2 linked regions of the Styela clava genome follow. The protein of the gene in region 1 purifies or fractionates together with the protein of each later gene. This does not show direct contact. Links are inferred from orthologs where the notes say so. Each region holds a gene or a part of one and is shown on either strand. Other genes may lie near its edges.

Region 1 (10,167 bases):
TTTGATTCACCAGAATGTCACAGCACTCCTTTGCAGACAAAATCAAACGCTGCGTTGTTTGCCCGCGGCGTAAAGAAGCACTCCATGTGTCGTCGTATTTTATTGTTTCCCGGATACGAGATACAGCATCGCAGAAGTCTGAAATACACGACTGCACAGACGCTCCATCCATTAGCCTTGACTGCAATGCGCCGTATAATACATCCACGTGATAGAATATTGTGGAGAAAAAAGCGAGAAAAAATGAAAACTCACCATCTTCTCGCAGACGCTTTAGACCTGCCGCCTCCCTCACAGAGCGTTCGTCACAAACCGGAGAGCTCTGAATGCCATTGAAACACTCAATGAGCTCAGACCTAATTTCGGACACGCCCTGCACCACGCGTGATTGGAAGTTCCAACGTGTTGGTGCACAAGCTGGGAGACGGCGGCTACATATCTGGCGAAGGAGGTCAGAGCGCTTCGGCGAAACGGAAAAAAATGAAGAAAACCCCGAAACATTTGCAAAAAATATACGGACGAGAGGGGTATCAAGACACATATTTTTAATAACGAGAATAAATTGGTGTGCATAACAATGTAAAAAAATGCGCATGAGGAAAATCTTCTTTTATATAAACTTGAACACCATGTTTCGACCCACTCATGACTGCCGCGCCGTCATAAGTTTGAGCTATCAATTTTGACTTCGCGTTGTAAGGCTGTAACACTTCTTTCAGTACAGCCGATATCCCGCAAGCCGTGCGATCAACGATTGGTACAAAGCTGTGAAATCTCTCGGTAGGTTTACCATCTTTCACAAACCGAAAAATCACAGCCAGTTGGGAAACGCACGTGATGTCAGTTGTCTCGTCAGACTGAATCGAAAGGAACTGGCAATTCTCAATTTCCAGAGCCAAATGTTGTGAATAAATTTTATACATTGAGTCGAGCAAATCATTTTGGATATCCTTAGATGTCCCTTTCGAAACAGTTGCGGCATCAAGATGATCTCTCAATACTGTATCTAGGGATGCGGTGTATTCCACCATATCCAAAAATACCCCTCTATTAGAAGAGCCAGCCCGTTCATCGTGCCCACGGAGGGACAGCTCGTGACAACCAATGAACTTCAAAACATCTATCAATCGACCGAGAACATGGCGGTTTTTCTCGACGTTTTGGTTGTGCCGACAAATAGAAACCGCGCGTCCTTCATTCAACTGTGCTGCAATATTAACATTTCCGAATGTTCGGTATTTTACTGCATTGTCCAGATGCTCCATAGAAGATTGATGATCCCTGGCACGCTCGGAAAGATGTTTAAGATCTCTAAAACCAAATTTACACCAACGTGAGTCACGGGCGGTAGCAAAAAGTAGGCAATAAAAACAAAAAAGTGCATTTTTGTCCTCGCTGTAACACAACCATTCGTGTTTTTTATACCAAGTTTCTGCGCAGAATGTACGCCGACGCTTTCCTCCGTCATGGGATTGTTCCAGTGAACAATTTTTTGGTTGATAAGGCCCAAGACGTTGTACCTCTAATTTTTGTTCCAGCGGCAGCTGCAAAAACAGAGTGCGAAGTAGTGCAGCAACCTTATTCATTATGAGGTCTAAGGCTAAGAAATGCGAAGCCGGAAAGAAGTGAGGAGCTCAAAAGGAATGTGGAAAATCGAAAGCAAATGGACTAAAGGTCTCTAACTGATTCAAATAGCGAAACAAGCGACAAAAACGAAGGCGAGGAAACTATCAACTCTTCAAGCAACCAACGAACGAGAAGGAATGCGTGAATATGTCAACACGTTGTTGGAAGAAACGTCGGCATTGTGTCGTCATAATTTCGGGGCTAGCCCCGATGATTTAGTAAAAGAAACAGAAAACAAACGAGACGAACGCGGCGAGTGGAAGATAAAAGAGAGAATACGATATACAATGAGCAACCGGGGCAAAATCGGCGTCGCCCCGTCGACGTTCGGCGAAGGCTTTGCGAGCGAAAAATGAACCATGTCGGGAGAATATGGCTAGTGTAGACAGTCTGTGCAACCGATATTGAGGTATTTTTCGAATATTTTTTATTGTACCGAAAAAACAACCGGGGCATTGCCCCGGTTGGCCCTATCGACGCGCCGCCACTGTGTAATAATATTTTTTATTTTTTTTGGTGGGCGGGCGCGTACTTTTACGTTTTTTAACTTTATTTTAAGTTATGCTCGCCTTCCAGGTATCTCTGCATTTTGTTTGTTTGTCCAGTTTTTGTGTTGTTTTTATGTCAGAGTAACGAAATAAATGATTGATTGATAGAATCAGTTCTTCAAAGCCTTTCGACGGACCATCAGTACCGGTACGTTCATTACATAAAACGAACCCCAACTGCGTAACCCCTCACAGTCGGAGTTTCCTATGCATAAGCATTTCTGTTTTACCGCGGTAGTATATATTTACGGTTTTACATTATTGTTTTAATCTTCACAAAACTACGTGATATGGAACTAGGATTAAATGGCAAAAACAGAAGTTAAACCGTGAATATATACTACTGGCCCTAAAGATTATTATTATTATTTCTTAGTTTCTTTTTTTATGTTATTATTTTAACCTTCTGGCGACCGGAAACTTTCCAAGTTCTTGAGGTCATGCCAAGGTCATCAGTTGATAGAAAGTACTTTACGTAAGATGTGAGCTGTTCCAAGAAAAACGGTTTTTTGAAGCTGTTCTGCATTTATATTTCCTGGAATATGTTGGACATATTTTTCAAATTATTTTCCGATAAGTCCAAGCGCCCCCACCACAACTGGTATTGTTGAAGTTTTGAGTCCCCACATCTTTTGTATCTCGATTTCTAGATCTTTGTATTTTGAGAGTTTTTCAAATATTTTTTTAGAGGTGTTCCTTTCGGATGGTATAGCTACATCAATTAGCAGACAGGATTTTTTTGTGAAATCTTTTACTATAATATCAGGTCGATTTGCTCCTATAGTTTTGTCAGTGTGAACAGTAAAATCCCACAAAATTGTTTCATTTTCTGCTACCGGTTCAGGCTTGTGATTGTACCACCTGTCTTCTGTAGGTATATGGTAGTGTTTGCAAATTTTCCAGTGCAAATAGGATCCGATTTTGTTATGCCTTTCTGTATATTCTGTCGGTGCCAAAACTTTACACCCGGATACAATGTGGTCAATGGTTTCATCAAACGATTGGCATATTCTGCATTTTGGATCAATGTTTAGTTTCATAATTTTATTCTTGTGAGCGTTGGTCGGGAGACTTTGGTCCTGAGCAGCAATTATAAATCCTTCCGTTGTGGGTTTCAGACCTGAACTTTTTAGCCATTATGCGTTTGTTGTTCATTTACATCCAGTGCACATGTTCTAGTGAGATATTTTCCATGCAATGGTTTATCATGCCAAATTTTTAGTCTCTGCTTTTCAATTTCTTTCTTATACTTGAGCTTGACATCTTTTGCCATCTTGTTTGCACCTTTTTTCTCAGTTAAGAAATTAGTAACACCAGTTTCCTTCATAAATTCATCAGTTTTATTGAAGATTGAGTCGAAACGCCTATTTTTATTTTTATCGAAATCTCGCACGATGCGCATTAGTGGATCTTCTGTTTCGGTCAAATATATTTTCAGTCCTACAGTAGATGCTTTGTAACTTTCCTCAATTTGAATCAGACTTCGTCCACCCTTGCTTCGCGATAAGTACAAACGTTCAGTGTCTGCTCGAGGATGATGTATCTTATTTATCGTCATTAGTTTTCTCGTTTTGGTATCAAATTGTTTGATTTCTTGCTTAGTCCACTTGATGATATTGAAACTGTACAAAACTACTGGTATTGCAAAACTGTTAATTGCCTTGAAGATGTTTATTATTATTATACTACGGTTAAACACTCTACTCGCGAACGCGCAATGAAGGCAAATTCTGGAATGAGTTCTAAGTACTACGTCATCGAAGGCCATTTCCAAACTGCGGTCGATTTTTGTTGGAGCGGTCGTCAAAAATTGTGAAAATATATATAGAATCGAATTCACCAAAATAGAGTTTTGGTGATTACCTCCATTCAAACTTTGACGATTATGCGGTTCAAATCAGGAACTCCAACTCCAACAGTTCGGCGCGAAAAAAATCTTTCAAATTTTTACTACGGTATAGTTTAGTATCACATGCACTTCTAGTTGGCCTGGTTCAAAATTTTTTGTATATGTTATTTATCATCCCCACCTGATTACGTCACTACGACGCCACAGTTGCGTAATGAATACCTCCAAAGTGTAAGGATGGTCGCCCAAAACGCGCAGACGATCACCCGGAATCGGAGGCGCAGTTCTTACCACTTCTTACCACTTCTTACCACTCGTGCATCTTACCTGTGACACACGGGGTCCCACAAGGATCTAATTTGGGGCCTTTATTATTTTTGATCTACATCAACGATCTCGCCCATTGTTCATCATTCTTCTCAAAATTATTCGCGGATGACACCAATCTCCTCGACAGCGACAAATCTCTCCCTGCTCTTCATTCAAGAGTCAACTCTGAAATAGTAAAAGTAGCTAATTGGATGAAGGCTAATAAATTATCTATAAACGTTGACAAATCCAAAACTATGCTTATTTCACCAAATAAACATAAAACTCACACCAAATTTTCGATTGATATTGGCAACACTAGATTAGAAAATGTAAGTTCTTACAAATATTTGGGCATATTTTTGGATAGCCAATTGAAATGGGATATTCACATAATGAACTTGGCTGCTAAACTATCTAGATCGGTTGGAATACTGTACAAACTTAGGCACTTTGTACCTGTAACAACTCTCCGTATGATTTACCATTCTCTATTCCAAACCCACATTCAATATGGCATTATTGCATGGGGTTCAGCCAATAGAACTCTATTACATCAAATCGAGATTATCCAAAATAGAGCCATCCGTGCTCTTTCTGGTAGTGGACGTCGCGAACAACTCAATCCAATCTACCATGAACTTCAAATTATAAAACTGACAGATATTCATAAAATAGAGGTACTGAAACTGATGCATCAACATCATAACAATAAACTCCCTGTCACATTTACTCATTATTTCTATAAGCAAAGTAATATTCATTCACATAGTACACGGTCTTCTACCCTTGGTTCTTACTATGTGCATCGTTTCACCACCAAACTAACACAAAATTCAATAAAATATTTAGGTGTTAAATTATGGAACTCTTTGGCTGATAGTATTCGAAACATGAATTACGATGCATACAAACAAGCATTGAAAAAGGTATACCTAGGCGGCTATATACTTGATCCGTCTGCTTTTCAAATAATATGATTTCCTTTACTGGCGTATTGTATATATCAGTATATAGACGTTCATATAGTCTCCGTAACGTACGGCACCTTTCCGGTCTTGATGCCTCGCCCTGTTACCGGTACTGTGATGGGATATTGTTCCGTACAAATTCCGATTTACTTGAATTCTTGCTGTTACCATATACAGTTATTTTTTGTGTGATCCTACTCCACTAATAAAATGGTCCTTACGTTTCGTATCCAATATGCCTCAGTAGGCTACAACAACCAGCTTTTGATCGCTGCTAGCAACGAGCTTCATTCATTTCTTGTTACGGTGCATGAACGCACAGTTTAACCCCACGAGGGCGCTGTCGCGTGTATTATTACTCTGGTGGTATTTTGTTTCTCTGTTAATTATGATTGATTAAATTTGTATAATTTTTTTTTGTCATTCCCTCTAAATCTCCAGCCCATAGGTGTCGCTGACTCGATGACTGTCACAGTCTTTCGCGACTCCTTATCTATTGCTATGAATTTCTCACTTGTATGAATTCTGATGTGTATATTTAATTTTTTACGATTGTCATTATGCACGTTTGTCAATTTTTCGTGCTTTAAATTTTGTGTTAATTCTTGCATGATAGAAATAAATTATCTGAATCTGAATCTGAATCTGAATCATGGCAGCTCCTGCCACAAACGAACCGCGGCAGCTCTTGCCATGGTTTTATAGCGCTATTCAGTAATCAGTATTAACGGTATATTCACAAATTAATGTACCAGATTTTAATTGATCATGTGGAATTATATCTACTTAAACCCTAACCCTAACCCCAAATCAATCAAAACTGTATCCATAAGAAAAACGTTCCAACTTACCCAATATTTGTCACCATAATAGACAGCCCTGTCTTTACGGCCCACCTGCCGCGGTTACGGCAGCAAAATTTTACCTGCCATTGGTTTTCAATTTGCTGCCGCGGTAACGGCAGCTCGACATTGGTTTGTGGCAGCTAAAAAGTCAGTTGCCATGAGTTTGGCCGTAGCGGCCATGGTATGGAAATACCGCCATGGTTTTGCGGCAGCTGCAGATGCCACAGAATACTTAAAACTGCACTTGCGGAATCGAGCAAGCTATTTCTCGTCGCAACGATCCCGATATGCGAGAGACCGCTGGCTAGTGAGTTCGGGATTGTCTGCGCAGGTGCCATTTCGGACGATGGTATCTATACTTGGCAAGCTCTATGATGGGATTGTGACGTCGTAGTGACGTAATTTTGTATAACATAGTCAGGTGGGGGTTAGGAATAAAATATACTAAATTCGGTACCGTACCGGTATGCTACGCCCATCGGAAGTACGGTACCGCAATTCCAGTTAATCAGTGCAAAATATCGTTCATCGAATGCTGAAATGTTTTAGCGATCTACAGATTTAGAAATCTGAGGCCAGTATGCAAGCCTTTTTGTGGCGAATGACACACCGACACTAAACACATAAACCAGTACCGGTACTGTAGTATCTAAATGGAGTAAATAATTTTGACTGCTGCATTGTAAGTTTGTTTATAGTAATCACTTTGTTACAGTATCCAAAACTCACAAGTAAATTTCATTTTCCAATATCTTAATATCCATGTACAGATGCAAATGGGCATATCGAGTAACATACGAAAAATATAGCCTAATCATTAACCGTGTGTCATGGGTAAGGAAGATAAAGTTGAGACTGATGTCTATGAGTATATGAAAATACAAAATAGACCATACAGTGCTGCAGATGTTTTTTCTAATCTACATAAAGTTCATGGAAAAACAGCTGTAGTAAAAGCAATGGAGACACTTGCAGTTGATAAAAAATTAATTGAAAAAGCTTACGGTAAATCAAAAATATATGTTATTAATCAAAACGAATTTCCAGAAGTTTCCGATTTAGAAATTACTAAACTAGAAGAGGATATCAAATTATGGACTGAAAAATGTGAGACATCACAATCTGAACTGAAACTTATAAAAGCATCTCTGCGGACACATCTTAGCAGTCTAACAACAGAAGGTGCAAAGTCAAAAGTAAATCAATTGCAAAAAGAAGTAGAGCAACTCAAAGAACGTTTAACTAAAGCGAAACAATCCACAAAAGATATAAGCGAAGAAGATAAAAAAAATATTTATAAAAATCATAAACAATTTGTTTCACATTGGAAAAAGCGAAAGAGGATGACAACCGATCTAATGGAAGCTGTGTTGGAAGGATATCCAAAGTCTAAAAAAGTTTTTATTGAAGAAGTTGGAATCGAGACCGATGAGGAATGCAATGCTAAGATACCTGAAGTTTGAAACTTGTTTCGTGGATAATGGGCATCACTATATTATGATTTGAACAAATAAGCATTGTGTATTCTGGATTTATTCCACAAATATTCCTGCTTTTAATGATCCCATTTGAATTGTGTGATTAATGTGTCTGTATGTTTTTTGGTTCAAGTCCACTTAAATACTACCTGACTTCTCCAATAATAAGGATCATTGGAACTCACCTGATCAATCTCATAACAGCAAATAATCAAATTACATTAGCAATTCAGTGCAGTGGGTCTCGGTATTTTGAAATTACTTTTTCATACCATTACAGTATATATAGTATATTTTTAAATATTGCAATACAAAGACCTCTCTCATTTCTTTTTTAAGCAGGCTACAGTTCTAGATTTTAATCCTGAAGCAAGGATGAGACAGTTTCAAAATCATGTGATGGCCCTAATTCGATTACCAAGTCTTAGAAATTTGTGTAATTGAAATTATGTTCATGTGGAAATTTTGATTGAATCTATGAGAATATATCTGAACTGTGTGAAAAATGATATCTCCTGCTTAGAGAATATTTGATCTCATAGACAATTTCCTAACGCTTTGTATGTTATTACACCAAGGTTACAGGTTAATCAAATAAGCAAGCAATGGGAGATTTTTTGTTTATTTTCATTTGTTATAAATTGATGCAATTGATTGAAACGAATTAAGTCCTGAGTAATATATTCATAGACCATCTTCATTTGGACTTTATTGCACAAGAATTTTTTGTCTATAATATAAAACTTGACTTGAGCGTACCCTAAGATATCATGGTTTTCTAGCCCATCTCAAACTGTAAATGGGTTGAATATTGTGTCGGAATTCTAGACTGAACTTCTACTGTTTCAAGTTTCTATGTCCATGAAATGGTTTTAGCCCAAGACTGTCTCATTTGTGCAATGCTGTAACATGTTCTGCCGATACATTGTTTTGTCATGCTCTGGGAGTTAATGATTGTGTTGGTATATATTTATATCTTGTTAATTTTTTTGGTTATGTTCTGACTACCGTTATGTTCCACCTCTTCTTGCTTCTGTCTTTTCATTGTTCCGTTCATTAAAAGGTGTAATATTTTTTCAATGTACGTTTCAAAGTCAAGGTTCAGGATTTCCCTCAGCAATCTTAAGTGTATGTTTCGATTTCTTGGCACGTGCCATTTTCGCAGTGCGATTTTCAGGAAATTTGGTTTCATTAGGGATATGTGTTGTAAAATCTCGATTCTGTTGTAAATTTTCAAATACGTCGCGATTCTCATTAAAAATCTCCTGGTTAACCTCAAGACGGTTGTGCGGCAGGCGTAGTACAAAATCTACCAATGCGCCTCATACTTTCGTTTTTTTTCTGATAAGACAAATCAGAACTACCATGGTTCAGGTAGATGATTCTGGATTCATTAGCTTCTTAAGGTTTGACGTAATTGATACTTTTACTGGTATTTTGTTTGGGATAGTCGCGTTGTTGAACAATTTTTTCAACAAACTTCTATATGTATATATATATTATATATATGTGCCTTTGCGTGATATAGTATAATTATGCTGAGTGGGGCACAAAATAGAAAATTTCCTGCAGTTTCATTATTTGATAAGATTATTTCACAGGGTGTTTTCACTTTATGGATTGATTTGTCAACAAATGAATGAAAGTATGGGGCATGAATCGTTTAATCACAATAGAATTTGGAATCGCCCGATATATCCTACTACAAATACCCGTGGGCGCAGCGAAGTCTAACATTTGTTGTTGTTTGACAAGCAATGTGATCTGTAGATAACGGTCTAATCTAGTCTCTTTCTAACTACAGTTTCACAAAACTGAGATAACCATCGTAAAAGTACTGTAGACGCGAAAAATATATTTAAATTCCTAATATTCGTAAGAAACGGAAATGGATTGCCTTCGGTATTAGCAAAGGGAATTGCGATGGTCTAGAATGTGCGCTTGCATTGCTCGTAATTGTTTTTGTAAAGGTGAACAGGAAGGCCATGTGTGCTAACAGCCACCAAAAAGGGGCCACGAGCCATATAAACTTGGGAATCACTGGACTACTAAAACATGGGAGCCTAGCAATTATGATCTGCTTCCCAGTAGAAACTCGAAGCAAGCATTTGTAAAAAATGACCGGACTCACAATTACTTCTTTTGTCACTGACATGCAGTCAAACATAGCCACAGCCTCGGCTCATAGATATCATAAACCACAAATGACAATTCAGCCACAATAACACGTCTTATGATATCGGATATGACGAATCGTCATTGTGTCGTATGACCACACTACACTATATTGCACCTTCAACAGCGGAAACAATTATTTCGTGCATTATATATAACATGACGGGTGAACGCTTTTTTTTATCGCGCATTCAGAATAAATGATTTCTCAGAAGCGGACAAATATATATATGGAGTATGGAAATTTGTGATGTACAAAGATGAGAGATCAGTAAATATATTCAGGCTGAGTTCTATATAACACGAAATGAATATAAATTTTCAAATCGATTGGGAGCTATAGCTAAATTATTATGGCATTGCAGT
Region 2 (10,304 bases), on another chromosome or scaffold:
CTTAATATATATATATATAACAATACTCACGTATCGATACCACAAATACTTGGTTTGCTTCTCCAAACTATGTTCCCTCTTCACATAAGTTGAAATAAAGGATTCCTGTGCAAGTACGGTACCTACGATTAGAACTATATGTACCGGTAGATAGATTAGAGCTAAGTTGTCTACAATACTGTGGTACGGGCCTGAAAGCAAAATTACCGAAAATGAAATAGCAATATCTGAATAATATTATTGCTACTGCTGTCAGTTCAGCAGTTACCGGTGCCAGGTTACCGTGCCGTGTTAGGTCAAGTTCGCAGTCTGTGACATAAATATCGCATCGGAACGAAAGCTAGCGTGATTTTTAGTGCTAATCTACTCATATATATATATATACGAAGCGTTACAAAATAACTTTAAAATGCCCGCATCTTGGGGCAACAAAAACCTTTGGTCAAAATATTTGGCGGCAAAGGGTAAGCGCTGAGAAGGTCATACTTCTTTACTCATGCGGAACTATGACGTCACACAGAGGTGGTGTCTCTATCAAAGCAATGACATTAAACAACATGATAGGCAACTCCGACGTCACTCCATAAGACTACAGGCAAAACATTGTATTTCATGATACGCTCCAATGCACATATTTCTCGTCGCCTTTCGCGTCCGTTTTCCGCTCGCTCTTGCTACTCGGCGTCTTTTTTACGTATAGTACCTGCCTTTTTGCGCCTGTAACGAAACAAAATAATCTCTATATCTAAGAAGTTTTGCTTACTTGGAAAGCTGGAATAACAGGCAAGCTGTAAAGAGCAATTCTGGACATCATAGACGTTTTTTTTTTATCAGAGAAGATTACAAACGCGATAGCGGGAAGATTTGTGTGGAACATTTTGCAGATAATGACAAAGTTCAAAGTTAGTAATTTTAATGTTTGCGCTTAATCATTGAAATTTCATTTAAAGAGGGTGTCATACAAAACTGTGCTGCGATACAATTCCATAACACAAAGTTTGCACCTATCGAACTTGCTTTTGTAGGTGAATTTATTAGACATATTACATATTCAGTTAATCGTAGGTAACATTGCTGGTACATAATGCATCGTAGATAGGTTTGTTTAAATTTAGGAATTTAGCTCATAGCCCACTAATTAATATTATCTTCTATGCAGGAGGTTGCAGGGCTGAATTAAACTTGCAGCCTTACCGATCACCTGACGATGCTCATTTAGTTTGGCTCGAGCAAGTCTTCTTGAAATGCTTGTGTGGATGGAAACTACCTATATTTTTTGCCTTCCTCCGATTTTAGACAAATTTATTCTGAGGGATTTCGCATATAATTCTCACTGATTGTTGGCTGTTTATAATTCCTATTGATTGTGAATTCTGATTATAACAATGAGTTGAAAATTTTTTTACCTAATTTACTGGCACCTTTTTCTTGTCAATACTCCAAGCTGAGGTAATAAACATGACAATACATTTATGTCATCTGGAAGCAAAATATGCACACTAATTAATAGTTTGGCACATTGAGATAATACATCATGACAGAAAATACAAGTTCAAGATATGTATGACCATCACATGGTAATTAAAATTAAAAAAAAATAATAGGGGCTGTGGAGTATGGAAAGTTCAAGACAAAGAAAAGAACAAATGTTCATAGCTCATGAACTCTCAATTTGGCCTCCATTGCTTTGTGAAGGCCAGTATATTTCGAGTGGCTGACTTGGTTTACCTTTATGATAGCAACGATTTTGTATTTAATATAGCGAGATTATTTCAATTTAATTGAAGTGATATAATTTCCCAAAGCAATGCTTGAATCGTCTAGAATAGATCAGTGGTGTCAAACTCATGGGTTTTTGAGAGCCGCATTGCATTTTGAAAATTGTAAAAAGAGCCGCAAACAGTTTTTGATAATGTATACTTAAAAGATATTTTTAAGATAGTTTTAGTTTGTGACATATATTGTGATGCAACTAAACAGTTGGATTAAGTTTTATTATTTTCTTCAATTTCAAATGCAATTACATATTATTATTTGCATTCCACTATTATTGCAACATTTGCAAGTTACAGTATTTATTATAAAAAATCGTAAAATTCTATGTACAACCATCAAAATCATTTTTGAACAAGCTTTGAATAAGGAAAGAATAATACATACACTAAAAATAACTTAATCTAAATATATGAACCTAAAATTAACAAAAATACTACAGTATAAACTCAATGTTTTAATAATTACATTTGTCCTGGCGTTTGGCATCTTTTTTGTGTCACCAGCATACTAAGGCCAGTCTGAAATGATTTTATAGTACCAACTCTAACTAACGAGGCCACATGATCATGGGTTTATCTGGATCTTTACGAATGTTTAATTAATTCCAGTAATGCAAAAAAGTTACTTTTATCATTTCATGTATAGATCAGTAAAAAAACAAATGACAGATTTTTTCGACAAGACATTTCGCACTACATTGCGTGGCATAGGATTGCTTGAATTATTATTGATATTGATTTTTAGTAACTAAGTCGTTGTATAATTATATTAATATACAAACACATGGAAATTTTCTGTTCGAAGTTGGTCTTCGAATTTGTCATATTGACTGCTGAGCTTATTGTGTTTTTTGATTGTTTTGATGAAAATATGACAAATTAAACAATGTGCTTCAGAATTTTGTGAAGAGCAGAAATGTTACAACTCCCATTTTCTTCGAAAATGCCACCTTCTTCATGTACTTTGCGTTTAATTTAATTACTCAAGTGTTTTATTCAAGTATTCTTTTGCTAGCTTGATGTGTATTCTTAATTGGGTCAAAATGTGGACAAAAAAAATCAATATTCCAAAACTACTTTCAGTAAATTGTTTTTTGTGTGAATAATCAATTTCACTTTAGAAGGTTTGAAAAATCTATTACATTTAGATAAAAATAAAAAAACTTCCAAAATACTATTACAATTATTGTTAAACGTTCGAGGGCCGCACTGGAAGTTCTCTGGGGCCGCGAGTTTGAGATCCCTGGTCTAGATTGAAGTTGTTCAAAAAATATATGATAGTATTTTATCATGAATGATGATTATACCCCTTCCGGAATTTCTTCTATAGTACTACCAAAAGTTGATGAACCAAATATAACACAGGTGCAGTGAGGTACCCGTAATCCTCATTTCCAAAGCTGTTTTAAGTATGTCTGGCGTGTTTTGTGCCCTTTTACAAATAAGACCGCTTATGCAATCTTACGCTTCGGAATTTTTAGTTATTTTTCTCAAGCCCTGCAGGATGTGGGGGCCATACACAACTCTACCGGAGGGTCAAATGTCTTTGCATGCCTCCATAGGTTGTTTTTCTATTGCAATTTTCTATTTTCAAATGCATTATATTTCTTGGAATCACACTGTCACTGATATGTCGCCAGACTTCTGATATATCCCCGTCTGCTATAGTTGTCCTGTGAATAAATAATAGGAAATTGAGATTAGACGAATAGTTGAAAGTTTTGCTTTATGTCGGCTTAATTTCTTGATTGATATACTTACTATTTCTGCTATTGCCTCTTGTGCTGCAAGAGTCTCACAATGCTTGGACAGGTTTGTCCACAACTTTCACATCTGAAGAAGTTAAGAATAAATAAAGCAGTCTATATGATTCAGAATGGAAAAGCTAATAAATCCAATATCTTATGTTTTATTTAAAAAATATTTTACTGAATTTGGTATATAAACCAACTAATAAAAGGGTTTAGTCAGAAAATTACAAGCATTCGTGGCTCCAAATACTTGAGAAATCAGACTATACAATATAGACCGGTATGAGTGAAATGTTAGGTGAACTTGTTAACACTTTGATTCAATACGCAAATAAAAGTGAATGCGTAATAGTATGTTACAATGAGCAGCAATCAACAATGAGTATATATCCTCACTGATTAAAAAAATCTAACTGGAGGTGCATGAACTATTTGAAACCATAAGGGGTAAGTAAATATGTAATTTCGGCAAATGGGCAACTACGTACCGTATTCGTGCTACGCCTTGAAAGCAGCACACATCCGCTCGTTTTCGTCTCGTCAAGTATGTGCATTGGAGCGTGCTATCGAATACGATCTTCGGACAAAAATGCCGGAGTTGCGCATCATGTTGTTTAATGTCATTGATCAAAGTGACTATAAACCAAGTGGCGACACCGAGTGTAATGATGCATAACAGACGTCATTTTGTGTCCAGCGAATCGGGAAGAACGCGGCAGCGTCGGTTTGTTTTAGCTTCGTCAGAAGGTCTCGTTCGTCAATTTGTTTGAAGATTTTTTTTCTGTTTTGCATTTTATTCGGGTAATTTCATTATTTGTTATTTGCCTGTTTGCCTCGTGGAATCATACTTGTATCGTGCGGTTTCGTGAAAGTTGCGATAGTTATCTTATCATCCCGTGTGAGTTGTGCAACTTTGAAACCTCATATCTCACGAACCTTATATTATATGCAGATACGTTTTTTATTGTTTGAGAGACAATCTAGGAGACTGATTATATTTATGAGATAGAGATAAAATGTTGCGATTATCATACATAAATCGGCAAAATTGAGAAGCGTGGAATATTTTTGAAAAGCTTGTGAATTAAATAACAAAAACTTCGATTTGTTCTTGTTTTAACCTAATATGACATCGACACATTTGCATAGGTTAAAGATAGCTTTTGTCATTAGATAGAATTTATCGTGCACCAGTAAAATTGTATAAGTTATTTCATTCAATGTTCTCCAATTCTTGGCATGTCCACTGCGCCATCTTGAGTTAAACAACAACGTTCCCTAATTATTTCGTTACGCAATTACGTCGCAATGTTCCGTATGAAAAAAACATATCGCTTTCCTTCGCAAGTGTGAATCGTCATTAACCTAATGCATACGTTTAAATCAGGTACTATTTGAACCGGTATTATGATACCTGTTCACACCATGCCAAAAGTTTAAAGCCTGCGTTTTACATTAATCATTCCAGAAACTGATCGAATGAATTTTCTCGGGAAAATTTTTCTTAATTCAACGAGCTGTTGCAACAGTTGCTCCAAAAATTATAGAATGTAAACGATCTCATGGCTGGCACATTGTGTGCCTCATCAATTTCATCGAAGCATGTACATTATAGGGTACAAAATTGAAAAACCAGCCGCCGCGACTGGTGTTGCAGCTCTTATCAACCTATTATTGGCAGGATATTTCAATTCTTTTGCGTCGAAAAATGTAAAATATTTACTAGGTGATCTAGCGACGCCATTATGTCTTCTACGTTCTCGTTGATAAAACTTAATTGTAATTTTATCGATATCCAACAGTGAAAAATTAGCCTTGATGTTTCCGGGGGAACCCTATAAACCACGGGGTTCAAATTGATTGTTTGTTTCTATGAAAAGTGTCAATCCCGATGAATGCCCACAATCGTTACTAACTTTTTTTAGGTCTTACACGCATGATAAATATTTGAAAATTGATAGTTTTACCCAATATTCATGCCACTCATCCAAAAAAGCAATCGTATTTTTGCGCGAAGCATAAAATATATTTCGCGCCAATATTAATATTCATTTTCATAATATATGTTCGCCTATATTTACGGTTCGCCTCTTACTTTTCTGACAGATATAGTTGCTCGAAATATAATTTCCCATCCTGCAACAATATCGCTTTTAAAACTTTGAAACGTTTTCTCAATTTAAAGTTAAATATTCACGCGAAAGAGGAGACAAATAAAATTATTGAAAAACGGTATGCTAGTACACCTCTCGGCAAGAGCTCAAGTCAAATAGATAATATATTATTTTATACACTCCAGATTATTAGATGTTCTTGTAAACTTGGTATACGCCGTTATCCTTCATTCCAAGCATGTAGTATATTTTTTTAATATTATTTTGGCAATGTACACCTTGTTGAAAATGTTAAAATAGGTTTTGTGCAAGTAGCGATACTTACATCAGGAATTTTATAATAAAATGTGTATCTTTTGTTTAATATTTAGGTCTCATTGGGTGTTGATTCATCGAGTGAAGTTGGATGACTTTAACCTTAACTTCGTATATGCTGACCATACCGCCGAGCTGAGTTATCCGAGAAACATCTGCGAATATTTAATTTTTCAGAAGAATGTTCATTTGTTTTGCCGCTGGGAAACTTTGGTCCAAATTATTGAGCATCGTTTATTTTATTCAGCTGTTAACGATCGCAGGTTTAAATCACTCAGTTGGGATCATACAGCGATAGAATTCTGGACACAAAATGGCTGGTGTGACGTCACACGGGCGCTTATAACGTTACCAATGCATGTCCTAGTCCTCTATAGCAAAACGCCATTCTCGCAGCACTGCAATCTTAGGTAGATGTGAAAATGCTATTATTTTGAACAAGTCGCGTTTGCCAATGACCGTGACCATTCCGTCATTTTTTGTTATTCAAGGTTCCTGTCGAATAGACCACTCATACTATAACTATGGTGAGTTTGATTTACCAAATTATATTGGGGTATCTGCTACAATATGTTGATAGACATTTTAAATTAATCGGTATCTCAATTTTTGCAATCTGAATTCCCTATATTTTACTGTTGCAGTGTTCCTTTTTTTCACTTAGGTATACTGGTATATAAATGACATGTTAACACCCTGTTGCCTCAATTCTTTCATTTTCCTTCAACTTCTATCTGTAATTAGATCTGGCCTCTAACAATTGTTTGCATATTTAACACATCTGAGAAATGGCTTTTCGTTAACTACCAGATTTTTTTTTTGGCAGAATGAAACTGTTGTTTTTAATTTAACATTGGGTGTTCTTCATTCTATTTTTCAAATATTGCCTGAAATTAAGTTCCATTAGTATTCCACTACTAGCCCTACAAGACTCTCTCTCTCTCATTGGTATGCCTGTGTGTAGCCTCATCTATCATTGTGAGAAATTGATATGTCATGCAAGAATGATAATTGGAACAAATATGAATGTTTAAAAATAGTTTAACATGTTTCTGTATTGCATTGTTCACTGTTAGTTCAACTTACTTCAGGCATTATGTGTCAATATTTTAGGCATGTTCACATTTTTCATATTATCATGGGGGTAACAAGAAACCTGAATATACACTACTCAAACCATCAACTTTGTTTGCTACTAAACATAACCAAACTGATTTTTGTGCACACATTGACTTGTTTGCTCTTGGTGGAACAATTCCACTATATAGTTACACAAGAAGATTCGTCTTTATCCAAATAAATGGAATCCTGATACTTGCAAATTTAGGCATTCTCACCCTATTTTTTGTTCTCAAACACAATGATGAAGTATATCTCTGCCTGAAAAACTGATGACCATATATTTTTTGCAGTCAAAGAAAAGAGGTTTGAGTTATGAAGAGAAACGAAAAAGAATGTTGGATATATTTTTTGAAAAAAAGGAGTTCTTCCATATCAAAGAGATGGAAAAGATAGCACCAAAGCTTAAAGGAATTAGTATGTAATGTTAGATACCAAATTAAATTTGAATGCTGGGAATAATTTTTATTTTATTATTTATTTAGCTCCAATGAGTGTGAAAGAGGTGCTCCAAAGCTTAGTTGATGATGATATGGTTGAAACAGAAAAAGTGGGAACAAGCAGTTTTTATTGGGCGTTTCCAAGTAAAGCTGTGAATGTGAGGAAGAGAAAGCTACAACATTTGCAAAGTACATACAATGAACAAGAGAAAGAACTTGCATCAACTAAAGATGAGGTTGCGAAAGCAAAGAAAAGTCGTACGGAATCTGTGAGAGTTTTATTATAAATTATCTCTATTTTAACTTGAGGGCACCATACTTCAAATTAACATCAACAGATAACAAAAATTCTCGGCAAACTCTTTCAAATACTTTCAGAATGAACGAGAACGTTTGCTAAGTGAGCTAACGACGCTTCAAGCTGATAAGGATTCGTTGACAGAGGAATTGGCTCGATTAAAAGATTGTGACCCAGAGACTATAAAACAAATGCGTAAGCATACTTCCAAGTTCTGATCTGCTATAATTATTAGTAAACATCTATATTGAAACAAAAGTTAAAAAATTGCAAATATTTTTTTGCAGAAGAAGAAATAGGTATCGCAAAGGATGCAGCAAATAGATGGACAGACAATATATTTTCATTGAAAACATGGATAAAAAGGAAGTTTCCCATTGATGAAAACATCATCAACAAGCAATTTGATATACCAGAAGATTTGGACTATATAACATGACAGGCAAATTTTAGCGAAATTGACACTGCAGGGGAAGAAATTGGCATTGTAAAGGATGCAGCAAACAGGAGATAGATATATTTTCATTAATACCTTGGATAAAAGGGCGGTTTTTCATTGATGGTAACCTGATCAATGAGCAACTTGACACAACACATGACTATAAGCAAAAATCTGTCCGTTGTTTAATTAGGAAATCGAAAGGTTCCGATGCACATCTAATCAGATTGTAATGGCCATATGGTATCTATTACAAAAAGGAAATTTTAACAGATTGCTTCATAAATGGTGTATCAGTTTTATTTTATTATTTGATGGTAATAATTCATTGCTGTTTTTATTAAAGGACGTTTATACAAGCAATTTATCAGAAAATACATAATAGGATTGCTCAGTAGTTACAGACATATATTGCTGTGCCATATTGAGTTCATCCATCTCTATTGATCAGTACATTTTTCGCAAATCACTTTCTAGTGAATACAACTTGGCCTTAAGATTTTTGAGATCATTTTGAATAACTCTCGAACGTCCTGCAGTTGTACGAACAGTTTGTAGTACCTCCACATCTGAGACTGTACCACCAACTGTGACTTTATATAGTTGTTTTTCCACATCCTTCAAACGCTTACGCAACAATTTAATGTCATTCTTGAATCCTTCAACTTCTGAGCATCTGCGCTTCTCTAATGCTTCATATCGTTGTGTCATGAGTTGAAGCCGTTGTGCCATTTTATCAGTTCTCTCTTTAAAAACATTTTTGTGGACGTCTGACTCCTCCCTTATTCTAGCCAGTTGGTCTTCTGCTTGGATGCATTGTTCTCTGTACATGTCTGCAAGCTTCGCAGCTTGCTCCAACTGAGAGTTTAGTGCTTGAATTTCAGCTTCCATCTGTTGTTGTGCCTCGTAATCAGCGAGGTATGCAGCTTTTGATATAAGTTGTGATTTTTTAGATTCGCCATGCCTCGAAGCGAGCTGGTCTCGTGCCATGTCCAGCTCTTGTAAAAGCCTATCTTTTTCGCTCATCCATTCTTTCTCTTTATTTCTCTGCTCAAGTTTTAAATTCAGCATGTCTTTTGTGCTTTCGTATAACATTGATTGAGCATTTTTCATTTTGATCTCAACACGCTGCAACCGGTCCTTATCTCTTTCTCTGCAAAGATCAGCTTCTTCTCGCAAAATTTGGCGGTCGTCTAACAGTGAATTGATTTGGTCCCGAGAGAGTCTTGTTTGCTCTTCTAATTGAGCCTGAAGTGCCTCGACTTGAAGACAGAGTGTCTGATTATCTTTCCTTAGATCACTTGACACAGCCTGGTCTTCAGCCGATTTACTCTTTTTTATAGCATGAGATTTTTTTGATATTGCTGAACTTGCTTTGTTCGGTCTTCCTTCTTCATTCGGGAAGTTTGGCTTTGGAAGTTTTTGTGGAACAATAATTTTGGCTGGAGGATCCTTGTGAAAATAGGAAACTTCTGAAGCAGACGGCCCAGCAATCGCAAGTAAATGTTGAATACGTTTCTGATTTTCAACATCCCGAATCTTTAATCGATCATTTTCGGAATATAGGCGAAGTACTTGTTCCCTCTCTTGCATTATGCAAACTTGCATATCACTGACTGCCTTTTGAAGATCGGCAATTTCATTTTCCCTGTGATGTAATTCACTTTCCAAACGATGTTGATCTTCGTAAGTGCTTTTGTATTGGTCTAGAGTTTTCTGCAATTCACAGTTTTCTTCATCAAAATCCGCGATTTTTTTTCGATAGTACTCCAATAACTCTCGTGATGGACGAAGCTGTGCCAACCTGTGGGTTATAGGAGGAATGGGTGGGTCATCGCTGCCACCATTCAGCATATCGCTGCTTAAATCCATAACTGCTTACGCCTGACTTTCTAGCAATCTTCACAAACGTCCCCAAAAAGCATAGCATAGAATGAAGAAATTTTGAAGATCGCGGGCAAACGTTTACTCGTTTTTGTTGTTGGTAGCGTGGTGCCATCTAACGGTGATTATTCGTTATCTCGTGGATAGGATAGGATGTACATATTTATCC

The links.
Region 2: the proteins of homologous-pairing protein 2 homolog (region 1) and meiotic nuclear division protein 1 homolog purify together in Homo sapiens (co-immunoprecipitation; 6 studies listed by BioGRID and IntAct, counting the BioPlex papers as one, with this or other methods). This does not show direct contact. The link is inferred for Styela clava from reciprocal best matches to the Homo sapiens genes PSMC3IP and MND1.

What each region holds. Positions count from the first base shown.
Region 1 is NC_135258.1:9,832,077-9,842,243, reverse strand, and holds homologous-pairing protein 2 homolog, read left to right. Parts: upstream 1-5,971; 5' UTR 5,972-6,978; coding exon 6,979-7,611; 3' UTR 7,612-8,706; downstream 8,707-10,167. UniProt on the Homo sapiens protein: Plays an important role in meiotic recombination. Stimulates DMC1-mediated strand exchange required for pairing homologous chromosomes during meiosis.
Region 2 is NC_135257.1:8,020,592-8,030,895, reverse strand, and holds meiotic nuclear division protein 1 homolog, read left to right. Parts: upstream 1-6,323; 5' UTR 6,324-6,479; coding exon 6,480-6,482; intron 6,483-7,367; coding exon 7,368-7,491; intron 7,492-7,559; coding exon 7,560-7,783; intron 7,784-7,892; coding exon 7,893-8,007; intron 8,008-8,075; exon of another isoform or gene 8,076-8,099; coding exon 8,100-8,251; 3' UTR 8,252-8,652; downstream 8,653-10,304. Other genes in the region: coiled-coil domain-containing protein 77-like, read right to left, coding at 8,699-10,123. UniProt on the Homo sapiens protein: Required for proper homologous chromosome pairing and efficient cross-over and intragenic recombination during meiosis.